2 linked regions of the Drosophila melanogaster genome follow. The protein of the gene in region 2 interacts with the protein of the main gene of each other region in a pairwise test. Each region holds a gene or a part of one and is shown on either strand. Other genes may lie near its edges. The genes, in order: Jabba and Ldsdh1.

What was found.
Region 1: the proteins of Ldsdh1 (region 2) and Jabba interact in a protein complementation assay, tested with the Drosophila melanogaster proteins (one study listed by BioGRID).

Annotation. Positions count from the first base shown.
Region 1 is NT_033778.4:18,756,483-18,763,224, forward strand, and holds Jabba (jabba), read right to left. Parts: upstream 4,601-6,742; 5' UTR 4,383-4,600; intron 3,615-4,382; exon of another isoform or gene 3,426-3,614; intron 3,141-3,425; 5' UTR 3,131-3,140; coding exon 2,905-3,130; intron 2,812-2,904; coding exon 2,462-2,811; intron 2,399-2,461; coding exon 2,159-2,398; intron 2,102-2,158; coding exon 1,969-2,101; coding exon of another isoform or gene 1,955-1,968; exon of another isoform or gene 1,823-1,954; intron 1,803-1,822; coding exon 1,743-1,802; intron 1,645-1,742; coding exon 1,549-1,644; intron 1,496-1,548; coding exon of another isoform or gene 1,447-1,495; coding exon 1,141-1,446; intron 1,041-1,140; coding exon 966-1,040; coding exon of another isoform or gene 962-965; intron 907-961; coding exon 710-906; 3' UTR 592-709; downstream 1-591. Other genes in the region: Cyp12b2 (cytochrome P450 12b2), read left to right, coding at 1-555.
Region 2 is NC_004354.4:8,077,688-8,083,362, forward strand, and holds Ldsdh1 (lipid droplet subset dehydrogenase 1), read right to left. Parts: upstream 3,919-5,675; 5' UTR 3,763-3,918; coding exon 3,743-3,762; intron 2,236-3,742; coding exon 1,740-2,235; intron 1,666-1,739; coding exon 1,483-1,665; intron 1,212-1,482; coding exon 948-1,211; 3' UTR 663-947; downstream 1-662. Other genes in the region: CG1571 (uncharacterized protein), read left to right, coding at 57-485.

The sequences.
Region 1 (6,742 bases), on a different chromosome or scaffold from region 2:
TCAAAGCAAGAGAAACTGCGTCGGGAGCTACTCCGTATATTGCCCACCACCAAGGACTCGTTGACGGATCAAAATACCAAAAACATGCCTTATCTGAGAGCCTGCATCAAGGAGGGTCTGCGCATCACATCTATTACGCCGGGAAATTTTCGCATAACACCCAAGGATCTAGTGCTATCGGGCTATCAGGTGCCACGTGGCACTGGAGTTCTGATGGGTGTCCTGGAGCTGTCCAACGACGATAAATACTTTGCTCAGAGCTCTGAGTTCATACCGGAACGCTGGCTTAAGTCCGACTTAGCTCCGGATATCCAGGCTTGTCCAGCGGCCCGAACCCGTAACCCCTTCGTATACCTGCCCTTTGGCTTTGGACCTCGAACCTGTATTGGCAAAAGGATTGCCGAGCTGGAGATCGAAACGCTGCTGGTGCGACTCTTGCGAAGCTACAAGGTCAGCTGGCTGCCCGAAACTCCGATTGAATATGAAAGCACCATTATCTTATCACCCTGCGGTGACATTCGCTTTAAATTGGAACCAGTCGGTGACTTAATGTGATATGTTTATCCTAAGCTCAAGTACAGACTATCGGTTAAGTTCAGAGATTTACTCGCAGTATTCACTAACAATATGGGAATGTAAAAAAAATAGAAGAACGGCTAGCTGGCTAGGAGGAAATTCAAACGATATGACAAGGATATCCTTCCAAGGACTAGCGCCGATTGCGTCCACGATAACGTTGGTGGGGATGATTGCGTTGGCGCTGCTGTTGATTTTGCTGCTGATTCTGATTATGGACTTCCTTGGGAGTTTGGGGCTGAGTTTTCTCGGTCTCAGGTGTTTGGGGCACCGAGTTGTTTGCCTCTTCAATGGGTTGATCCCTCATCTCCGTCGTGGGCGTGGAGTGGGCTGAGGAACACAGTGATATTAGCCAGTTTACAAACAGGTAATGCTCTTTAATTACTTGCCCAGGACGGATTGAATGCTGGCCCTCTTGAGGAGAGCCTGGGTTCCTAGGCTAGTATTGAAGCAAGTGGGTGAACCTAAATGGGGAATGATAAGTATTTAAGATATTAAAAATGCTTAAAAATATTATGTCGGCAAGTTAGCAAGCAGAAGAGACTAAGATGGAAGAGCACACACCAATAGGGCTATAGAATATGTCTTCGGAGGAGGTGGCAGGAGTTAGGGTGTCAACAGTGGGATAGTTGGATAGATGTGAATCAGTTAACGTGGCGGCAATCTCAAGGATCTGTTCAGCTTGGGTATCTGGCTGGGTTTCATCGGCCTGGTAGACAGTTATCCCGGTTTGATTACTGCCACTGGAGCTGCAACTATCCTCTGCATCGTCATCTGTTTCTTCGGTTGAGGGTTGGGACTGGGATGTAGGTTCGGATGGGAATTCGGGTTCAGGCTGAGTGTCAGGTTCTGGATCAGGATCAGTGGTGACTGTTGTGTTTGAACACATGCACGGAGTAACAGAAACAGAGACAGAATACTAACGTTAAAATGTTAATTGGGACGACGTGGAGCGATTCTCGCGTGAGTTACCTGCAGCGGCAGTATTGTTGTACAGTCGGGTATTCATCACGGCTGCGCTCATGTGTCCTGGCGAAGATTTCCACTCCTCATCCGGCTGGGCAGCGGCTGCGATCGTTATCATTCGGTTGGGAATGGGGGAGAAACAGAGAGAGATTCGAGGTCAGGGCAACGGGAAGGAAATGAAACGAGGGGGCCAAACTCACAAGTGGCTTGGTGGCTAATTTTGAATTTTTCGTTTTCGGGCCTGCAAATGAATGGATGATCTACGGAAATGACTAAGTGTATTGTTGTATCGGTATTGTATTGTATTTCATGACAACGTTTCAAGTTCAGTTTTCATCAACGCTTAATTCGATAATCGATACTTGGAGTTAACCTAGACTTAGGGGGCTACGCACGAGAGTCTTAATAATGTTCAATGTCCATTACCAACATCCGCCTGCTCCTTGTCGTTGTTGCCATTGCTGGTTGTCGTTATGTTCAGTTTTCCCTTATCATTTTCCTTCTCCTCGGCCTTGTGCACTCCGTTTTCCACCACCGCTCCAGCTGACTTCTGCTTGGGCTTAAGGTATCATTTTGATTAATTGGAGCACTAGTAAGAGGCTATTGTGTAACCCACCTGGCTGACAACCTCATCCACCTCGCCGCTGCTTATTCCTTCGCTGGAGCCGGATTCGGATTCGCTTTCCCCGCTGCTGCTGCTGCTTTCCTCCTCCTCCTCCTCCTCATTGGGCACAAAGTCGGAGTCATCTTCGGAATTCTCGTTGGCATACTTGGCCAGCATTTGGTCGATGGTCAGGTCGGCATCGGCATTGCAGTCCTCCTCTCGAGGGCGCTTAACTACGAAATTGCTTAAACCCTGTACAATCAATTTGGAGATACATTTATTAGTTAATCGAAATTTTCAAAGCCTCAAACTGACCTGCTCCGAATGGCGGACAAACACCCGGCGACTGCTGCTATCCTGCTGAACTCCTGGACGGCACATGGCTCGGGAAAACCACTGATTGAGCTTCTGGGTCATACCCTTGCCACTGCCATAGGACACCTCCTGCTGGCGCCGTCTCATCACCTTTAGGCCATGAACCCGAATGGCCCGCAGCTTGCGGCGTCTAGTCTGTATAAAGTATACCATATCCGTAGGAGATATTGGACCATTGCCGATCATCAGGGCGCCAACCGATAACCAAATGCGTGTGAGCCGCAGCAGGACGATGAGCATCAGGAATGGAGCCCAAGGCAGGGGGCGTTCCAAGGGAGCAGAAGACTTGTCTATATACAAGAGGGAGGCAAATTTAGTTAGGTTAAGGTTTTAGTTAAGGTTTTCATATTAATTTTAGGATATAATATTTGATATTTGCTCACCTTGCGGAAGACTCCACTTGGCAGTATCCTCGATCATGGCCAGCGCTTTATCAGCCCGTTCGATCACGAATTGGCCAACTCGTGTGCTAGCAAATCGCTCCGCCTGTTCGCGAACCCGATCGTAAAAGCTGCGTGACTCGTGGAGTTCGATGACTTCTTCCTCGTCGATATGGTCTCGTTGGTTCTGGTCTTTGGCTGTCGCCACGGTCTTCGTCTCCTGTGCCATCTTGCTGATTCTAAAAAGCAAATTTTATTGGATGTATTCAAGTGAGATAAGCAACTGCAACTGTAAGTAGTGCGGTATATCTGCTAGGACGTTTCATCTGTATAATTTTTCGCTGTTATATGTCAATATATGCACTTTTTTAGTGCACATTGTGGCTTTAATATGCAATCTTGTCTATAATTCGACTTAATGGCAATTTAATTCTCGGCAATTACTAGAGCTGCCATAAATTTGGGATTGCCGCGTGATTAGGTGCTGAACGAGCGAAGAATACGGTAATGCCTTATTAATAAACCTGACGATCCGAGGTCGTCTGCCAGAGGAACCGAAAGTGGATCGCTTATCGGAGCGGATCGGTACTTCGCACTTGTTTGAGTTTCGGATGGAGGATTGCTTTTGTTTTTTGTTGCTGCCGTCTGGCAAAACTTATAGTCGCTATATGTACGTATAGCTCTAATGCCTTCCGCCGACAATGACTAACGGCAAATGAAATTAAGTAGACCTAGCTGCAGAATCAGCAACAAAAATCAAAACAAATTAAGTATTTTATAATTAGACAATCCGAACTTTGTACGATTCAAGCCGGCGGAATAGTTCCAATCGTTGATTACGGGAGATCTCCGTCTCGGAGCAATCGTTGTGTGGGTGAGGTTACTAGTTAGGTTATTGGTGATTTGAAATAATACCTATCGCGAGCACTAGGCTTGCCCATCGTTTGCTCGCACTTGTGAACACATAAATTACTTTCGAAATTGATAGCATCCATTCTCATTCTTGGCGCGATGAAAGAAATCTGGCGTATAATATAAAGTTACACAAGCATAACACTCAATTATTTGATATTTTTAGCGCTTATTGCATCGCCCAGAAAATACGCGAATTCTCAATAAAATAACAAAAATAATAAAATTATCACAAAAATTTGTTCTCGGGATCAAAGTGTATCTTCCTCTCTCATAAAATGCAAAATTAAAAACATTCTGCCACACACATGCCGCACTCCGAATGAATCGTAGCGAAACCCTGTTAGCCAGTGTAACGAGATGGAAGTGCAGAAGTCTGCTCTTCGGCGAGTGAGGAATACGATGTGAAAGGGGGCGAAGGAAAAGTAGGGGAAGCAGAGCGAAAGTATAAAGTGCAAGGCACTGGGGGGAATCGAGCTGATAACGGTAGTTTCGTTTTCCTGACATAATGGCGATCGCGAATCAGCGGAGCGGCCGCACAAACCGACTTATGCGGAATTCTCACTTACCGGTCTTTTCGATTGCCTTTCTCACGCTATTTTGTGCAATTCTATAGGCCTTCTTTTAAACTCTCGTACCAGCCGATAGTTTGCCCAAAAAATGCAGTTACTAGAAGATTTTTGGATATAATAAAAAACACTTTGGCAGAACTTTCTTCCAAATCTGCCTTGAAATCCTGGAGAAACGATCTACCGGCTGCACAACTCCCGACTGACTGATCAGTGGTTCTGAAATCGCGAGTTCTCGAACCGCAATCGACTTAAGCCGGGCAATCGGCTTTGATTCGGCTCCAAAACGAGCAGTCGAGTCAACTGTCAAAAGCGTTATCTCTCGTTTGAGGTCTCACCGAATGCCTCTCTTATTATTATAATCTTGCAAAGGTATTGTTTATAGGAAGTCTAAGTGACGATGGTTATCTGCTATTGCAGATCTGCATTTAAGATCTCCCAATTATGATTGGAAATTTACAACTAGCTGGTATTTCGATTTAAAAATTTTAAAACTGATCAGTCTGAATAACCAAATATTCAAATATTTCGAAATTAGTACTTTTATTAACTCTGTGAAAGTACACATAATTAAGTGTAAGTTATACTCTACCCATTTTACTTTTCAATTAACGTTAATGTTAAATGTTAAGTAATTCTTATTTAAGGAGATTAAATTAAATGAATTTGCCATGAATATAGGATCAGCAAAGCGAAGCTTGTCGCTATAGATTTTAAAGCCTGTCGCCAATGACAATCGTGTTTACCTGGCTTGTTTATCCTGTTTGAAGGACCCTTCGTCCTTTCGGTTCTTTTGAGCAACCACTCGACCGAATTGCACTCAATTTCGTTTTCGCTCGGCGCAAAAAGCTCTCGAAGCCCAGCAAGCGCGGAAAAGCTCTCGACAAGCATTCAGTTGCGCGAAAATTCTCCACGGCAGCGGACGGCATTGCGGAGCGCTTCTCCGTCCCGCTCACTCGAAACGCGCGTTTCTGTGTAAAATCAAAGGGACTTCCCGCTCCGCCCGTTTCCCACGCGAATTTCTGGAAGGACTCCGTTCATGCTCCTCTATTTGCGCCCGCTGAAAAACCCCATTCATCTCGCGTGTGTGTGCCGCAACTAGCTGGGGATATAAAAGCAGGAAAAGTTTAACCGTGTGCAGTGTGTTGTGAAACATTATTTGCCCAACTGCAAATGCAAAACGGCAGGGCAAGTCCTGAATGGGAGAATAGGAAAATCACGAGGAGTACCAGCAGCCAGCAAGGAAACTCGGAAAAACGCGCAGGCAGGAGGATGTAGTCGCGAAATTCGTATGCACTTGTCTTGGTGACCTCACTCACACAAATTCAGCGAACTGTGTGTGTGCTTGTCAGGATGTGTAAGTGTTTTTGGCGAAATAAAAATGTTTGGCTCCCACGATTGCCATTGATAAGCCACCAAACACACCTGGCTGACTAGAAACATTCCACCTGTGACAGCTGCGTGTGTGTGTTTTACATTTTTGTATTTTGAAGCAGCCCACCTCACGTAATCCGTTATCCCTTATCCCTTATCCTTTGGGCCCGACCAACTCCCTTTGATGCTGGCGTGTGGTATATAGCCACGAGTATATGGCCGGGCTCCACTGAATGCTGCCACTTGAGCAGCTGAGTCGCTCTCAAAAGCCAACGCCGCACAATTTGGACAGCTATTTTTATGCGGGTTGAGTGCGGCTTTGGCTAAATTAGTTTGCGCATAAATTTTTGCCACGACAATGGGGTGCTCGAGTTGTTTGTGAAGAAAAGCAGACAAATAGGGCATTAAGAAACATTTACAAACACATACATAAATCATGGTCTACTGACCTATATATATAAAATCTTTAATTTGTCCGCATTTGTGGGATAACACTTGTTCAAATGTTAAGGCATGTACGCAATAGAAAAATCTTTAAGGTCAAAGATGTCTATAAAAAGTTTGCCCTTGACAAATGTGTGTTCTCTTCGAAATAATTAATCAATAGACTGTAAATAAAATATTAACAGTTAGCCAAACGAATAAAAAACTTTGAACTAAAAGTAAATGTTAGCTTTCTGATATCCGTTTGCAGCACGGAACTTATCGAACCTCCCTCGCTCCGATTTTGGCGCCATGTCAGCAAGGGGTTAGGACCGATAACCTCTGAAACGCACAGGTTCCGCGGACTTTACGACGGCCATTCCACCACCCAAACCGCCACCCCCCCCCCCTCATTTTCAGCTGCTGTTTCGTCATGGCAGTTATGGCGTCTTTGCATGCCGCTGCGCTTCCGGTCCACACACACACACACACTAACACACTCACACACACTGAGACACGCAAGTACATCGATGGCAGTTGGCATGGCTAAATGAAAATAAGTG
Region 2 (5,675 bases):
TTGAACATTCTGTAATGTAATCCCCTCTCTCTAATTAACACTATATCTTCTGGAAGATGTTCGAGCGGGAGATCGTGCGGTGTAAACTACTGGAGGCTCGCTATGATGAAGTTAGGCTAAAGCGGAAAACGCTTCAAATGGCCGAGGAGGAACGTGTCCGGAAGCAGCAACAACTGGCGCCCACTCTCGAGCTGGATCCCGACAATCCCGATCAGTTTGTGATGATGATCGAGGGCGATGAAGAATTTCGCACGGCCATCACCGAATTCCAGGACATCATACTCAGTGTGGAGAGGAAGCGTTCCAAGCGGCAGGTGATCATGGAGCGTACGGTCTTTGAGGAATGGAATCCGGCTGACGAAAAGCTTCAGGGTGAGCCCGTCGTATACACCAAGCCCGAGCGAAAGGTTCAGACGTCGGGAAACTATGACAAGAGGACTTCGGGAGAGCCAAGAGCTTCGCAAGGATCCATGAAGCACCAGTAAAAAAAAATATGAATATGAACTATTGGATATGTTGATATGATGTGCAAATTGAAATAAAGTTATCATTTAAATACAAACTGTTTGCCAAAGCTGCGGGAAACAGATGAAACCCCATACGATGAGCACCATTAAGACCATGACTAGCGGGTCAAACCACATTTAATCACATTATGGAGTACTCTTTGGAGACCTTTATTACGACCAACACAATTAGCCCGACTACGTGCGACTTTTTAATTAAGTAACAACCTTTCTAACAGCTAAATTTAGTTCGTTAAATTCACTTTTCATATAGCATTAGTTGCACTTCTCTACACAGCAATTAAATGGAGTTAATAGTACACTGGGAAAAAAAAAATAAGCAAAATAAAGTGAACAAATGGGGGGGGAGAAGATTAAAGCTAAATCATCCACTTTTAGATGGATAATGGGGTGTTCAATTTGGCCACTTGGAGCTGAGCTCTAGGACTTATCGGTATCCACACCCGTGTCGAAGAAATCGTTGACCAATCGCATCGCCTTGCGTGGAATCAGGCGACCGATCTTCTCAGCGGCCACGAAATGTCGTGGAATCGCCGCCTCCTCCAATCCCTGGCGCTGAGCCTCGATGATCGATCCGGCGGCCACATCGGCGGGTATCAGCTTGAACAGATTGGGGAATCGGTAGCGGGGATTCTTGCACAGACCCGTATCGATCATATACGGATATATGGTAGTCAGCTTGACCTGCAAGCGGAAAGTAGGTGGGTTATATTAAACTTCGAATTCATGGAGTTATTATGGGAAAAGGTCTCATCCATATGAGATAATAAAATCGTAGTGTGAAACCAAGATGCTCGCCTAACGGTGAGAATTAAACGGGCTGCTTGGTACGAGCTATAATATATTATTTTTAATTAGCTACTCTTAACCACCTAATAACCTTTTAATTGGACACTCAACTGGATTATAATGAGCAACTAAATGCTAATAAAAGTGTGAGTGAGTTGGTACTTACGTTGTTCTGTGGGTTCTTCTGACGCAGCTCCTCAACGAGGGCGGCCATGTAGCCACGAACGGCGAACTTGGTGCCGCAATAGGGCACCAGATTGATCAGTCCAAAGAGTCCGGCGCATGAGGATAGGGCCACAATGCTGCCCTCGTTGCGCTCAATCATATCGGGCAGGAACGCCTGGATGATCTGTGAATGAAGTGAATGGTCGTCAATGTTACTATTGAGATAACATCGATATTAACACTATCACATCAACTTACCCAGAAGTGAGAGAGCACATTGATCTCGTACATTAGACGAATCTCGTTCTCGGTATGCTCCAGCAGTGGATGGCAGGGCATGATGCCGGCATTGTTGACCACCACATGAATGAATCCATGCTCCTTGCGCACCTTCTGGGCCAGTTCGATCAGTTCCTCGCGCTTGGTCACATTGCAAACGTAGCCAAAGGCCTTGCCACCATTGTTCTTGATCTCCTTGACGGTCTGGTTATTGGTCTGCTCATTGACATCCCAGCAGAGAATGGTGGCGCCCAGCTTGGCGTACTGCAGTGCCATCTCCTTGCCCATGCCGTGGCCAGTGCCGGTGATCAGGACCACCTTGCCATTGACATCATCGAGCGGCGGCGCGCGGAAAAGTCCAACGATAGCTTCCGCAATGGCGAGCCAGAATTTGACGATCAGCATCACGATGTCAACCACCAGCAGGACAATGTTGTAGATGTCATTGCTGTTGGCGTTGCTGCCGTTGTCAGCACTGAAAGAAATATGTACGATATTATTACCAAATATTAGGGTAAATTTAAGGCTTAATTGTGAGCATGTTTCTGTAAACTACATTAAATATATATATATTTGCTTTTTAATAATAAAGTAAACCACATAATGCTATGGTTTTTTGTGGCAAGTGCGTGCTTTCTCTACATTGACTCTTGATCTTGGGCATCATCATAATTATCAAGCGGAGTGGAGTTCAAATGGGATTAATCCGGAACCCTCCAACTCTTGCATGACCCACAGTCATTTGGATGGCAAGTATGTGCGTGTATATGCCTTATCTTACAGCCAGCGACAATCGCATGACCTTTGCCATCCTCACTTTTTGCGGCTACACTGGGAGAAAACAAGTCGCTTAAATGAAAAATTTTCTTTGTATCATTCCATTTTTTATGACACATTTCTGTTATTTACTTATCAATGATGTCATGTAATGTGTTTCGGTTTTTCGTGGGAAATGCGGAAATAGCCAAAAAAAAAAAAAGGGGGGCGGCAATGGGCGGGTTTGGGTGGTTCCAACGTGGGTCATCGTGTTTTCTCCCAGCTCATGTTCTGTAATTATATTTCGCTGGCTGCAGCTGCGTGAGATCTTGATAATGCCGAACTGTTTCCAGCTTTTTGGTTTTTTTTTTTTTTTTTTTGGTGTGGTTTCAATGTGTTTTCGCCCATGCATTACGTAGTGCGATAGTATATGCATATATGTATATATATATACTTGCTATATATTCTAGCAGATCGTGCCATCGACTTGACCATCATTACCATGTCCCTCTCTCTCTCGCTCTCGCCCCCCTTGCACTTTCTATCGCTCCGTTTCACTTGCGCATTTCACTGCCATGGAGACTGCTCTTATCGGAATGCTACTTCTGGAATGCTATTTATAGTACGACGTTCGGAATCGGACCAAAATCGTTCCGAACAGCCCACAATATTGGAAAATATTTTCCATTTTGGAAAGTAGCATAGTATTTGAACTGCGATCCTCTGCACTTATGTCCTCTCAAGCGTGTGAAAACTATTTCACCGAAAAAAAAAAATTTCAAATGATCCTTTGCCCGGTCAATAAGTGTAAGGCGATCTTTGGTCAGGGCAATTTGATATAGTTAAACTAAGTCGAACGAAGGTGAATGGCGCTTAAGTGAGCGGATACAGATTGCACAATGGTTGGTCAAAGGTTGAAGCGATCATCCATCATCATTCATATGGATGGTTTGGTCATCTATAATGCGATCTCTGGGCCAATTATTCCATCGAGCTGAATAGTATTAGTTAGTATTTGGTGCTCATTGAACCCTGCTCCTCCGGGCCACTGGTTGTAGACCCAAGTCGATAAGGTGATCTTATCGCTGGCGATTAAAATATTGCACTACACTTTGTTCCAAATGTTCCGTTGATAAGATAGTTCTCTTAGGTTTTTTTTTTTTCTTTTTCTTTTCTTGATTTGTTACCAACTGGTGGGTAGCACTTCTGTTTCGGTGATTACCCACCTTTGCGTCACTTTCGACATGTTTCGTGTATTTGGCTAAATCCTGCGAGGATCGTTAATGTATATATATATCTATATATATATATACGTATATAGGAAGGGATCGGAGCAGCCGGAGCAAACCGTTAGCGGCTGTTAACGAATTCGGACTGAATATTGAGCAAAGTAAACACTACGCACCGTACCGCCACGCCGGTCTTATAAGTTATTATTTCAAATCTACTCACACACACACACTCACACACACACACACACACCACTGGGTTTTCAAATACTATATGGTACTGGTACACTGGCACACCGGCACTACTTGTAGATACACTCTGCCGGCAGCGTTGACGTCGACCGCGGCAGCGACGCAGGCAGAGCGTTCTATAAACACAACTACGACATATGTTCAATGGCACTGTCATTCCGATTTATACCATTACAATCCAATGCGATGCGATCCGATCCGATCCGATCTATATGGAACGAACGATATCCGCGGATGTGCAACGGTTCAGCCGGTATGAAATGCATATTTCTATGTATGTATTTATTTTTGTTAGATAGCAAATGCCTGTTTGTTAATCCGGGGTCCGGTAATAATACCCTAGTCGGCCATAAATAAGATATATATGTGTCATATATAAAAATACACACAACCAGGCGGAGTTTACGACCCAGATCGTTCAGATACCCAGATACTTAGATACACAGATACTTCGATACTCAGAGAGATGAGATACAGAGATGCGGTGTGCGAAAGCCAAAGGTGAAAAAAGTGCCAAAGGGGGTGCTAATGCCAAGGTAGATCTACGGCGCCGATATTAACACACAAAAGCTTCGCCTAAACAGATCGGTTTCATTCACTTATTTTTTTTTTGACCAAATCATATGCGAAGATAAGCACTGGCAGGATGATCTTTGGCCTACGGCAAAAAAAAAACAAAAAAAGCTCAGGAAACCAGAACCAATGTACAATGTACGCCAATGAGAGGTATTATTTGGTTCAAAGATTTAGTTTTTTTTTTTTTTTATCAGGGTAGGGTATGATGGTTAGAGGGTAGGGTCTTAGCTGTGCACTACTTGACCCCTGAGACATAGGAATCAGATTGCGATTAGATAGTGCTCCTTGCCATTTGCCGGCTCAGCATGATGCATTATTTTTCGATTGGAACATTGGGTCAAAGTATGGGACTCTCACCATATAGAGAGTCGGGCGAGTAGAGCCCAACCCATGAAGATAAGAATGGGATTCCTTGGGTTATTGGTAATACATTTATATGAGTGATCACTTCATCGGCGATATAACTAACGTTCAACGTTCATCCGCAATAGCAAACAGGCGCTTCTATATAATTAAGTATATTGCTAAGAATTTAATTATTCATAAACGACTGGTTTTTTTTTATATGGCACATATATATATTTTACAGCTGACAACACTAATGACTAATTAGAGACTTGTGCTACTAATATATTCACAATAGTTTCTCAAACTTTTAAATTGCAACCAGATCTATAAAGGGCGATTAATCTGATCTTAACTATATCTGCTATATCTGTTACTTATTTATGGTCAACGTCATGGGTGATACTTTGTTTGCAATTCCAAAGTAAGTGCATTAGCATTTATTACTTGTGTTAAATCGTTCTAGTTTGAATACTGAAAGCTTAGTAAAATATAAAAATTTTGTATATTAATATTGAGATGTAATGCCAAGTCAAGTTGATTAACATTATCTGCTCGCCTCTCCATCAAGGGCAGCATCTTCCTTTCCGGCTACTCGAACTTGGACGGACACCTTATAGCTGACATGCTGCACTCACTCATTCCGGTTCGCCGTCTATCCGATCCGATTCGAAACGATCCGGTCCACCTTCCATATGCCAGATGGAATGGAAGCCATCTATCTAGATATCGGTGGCTGGGTGGCGTAGTGCAACCC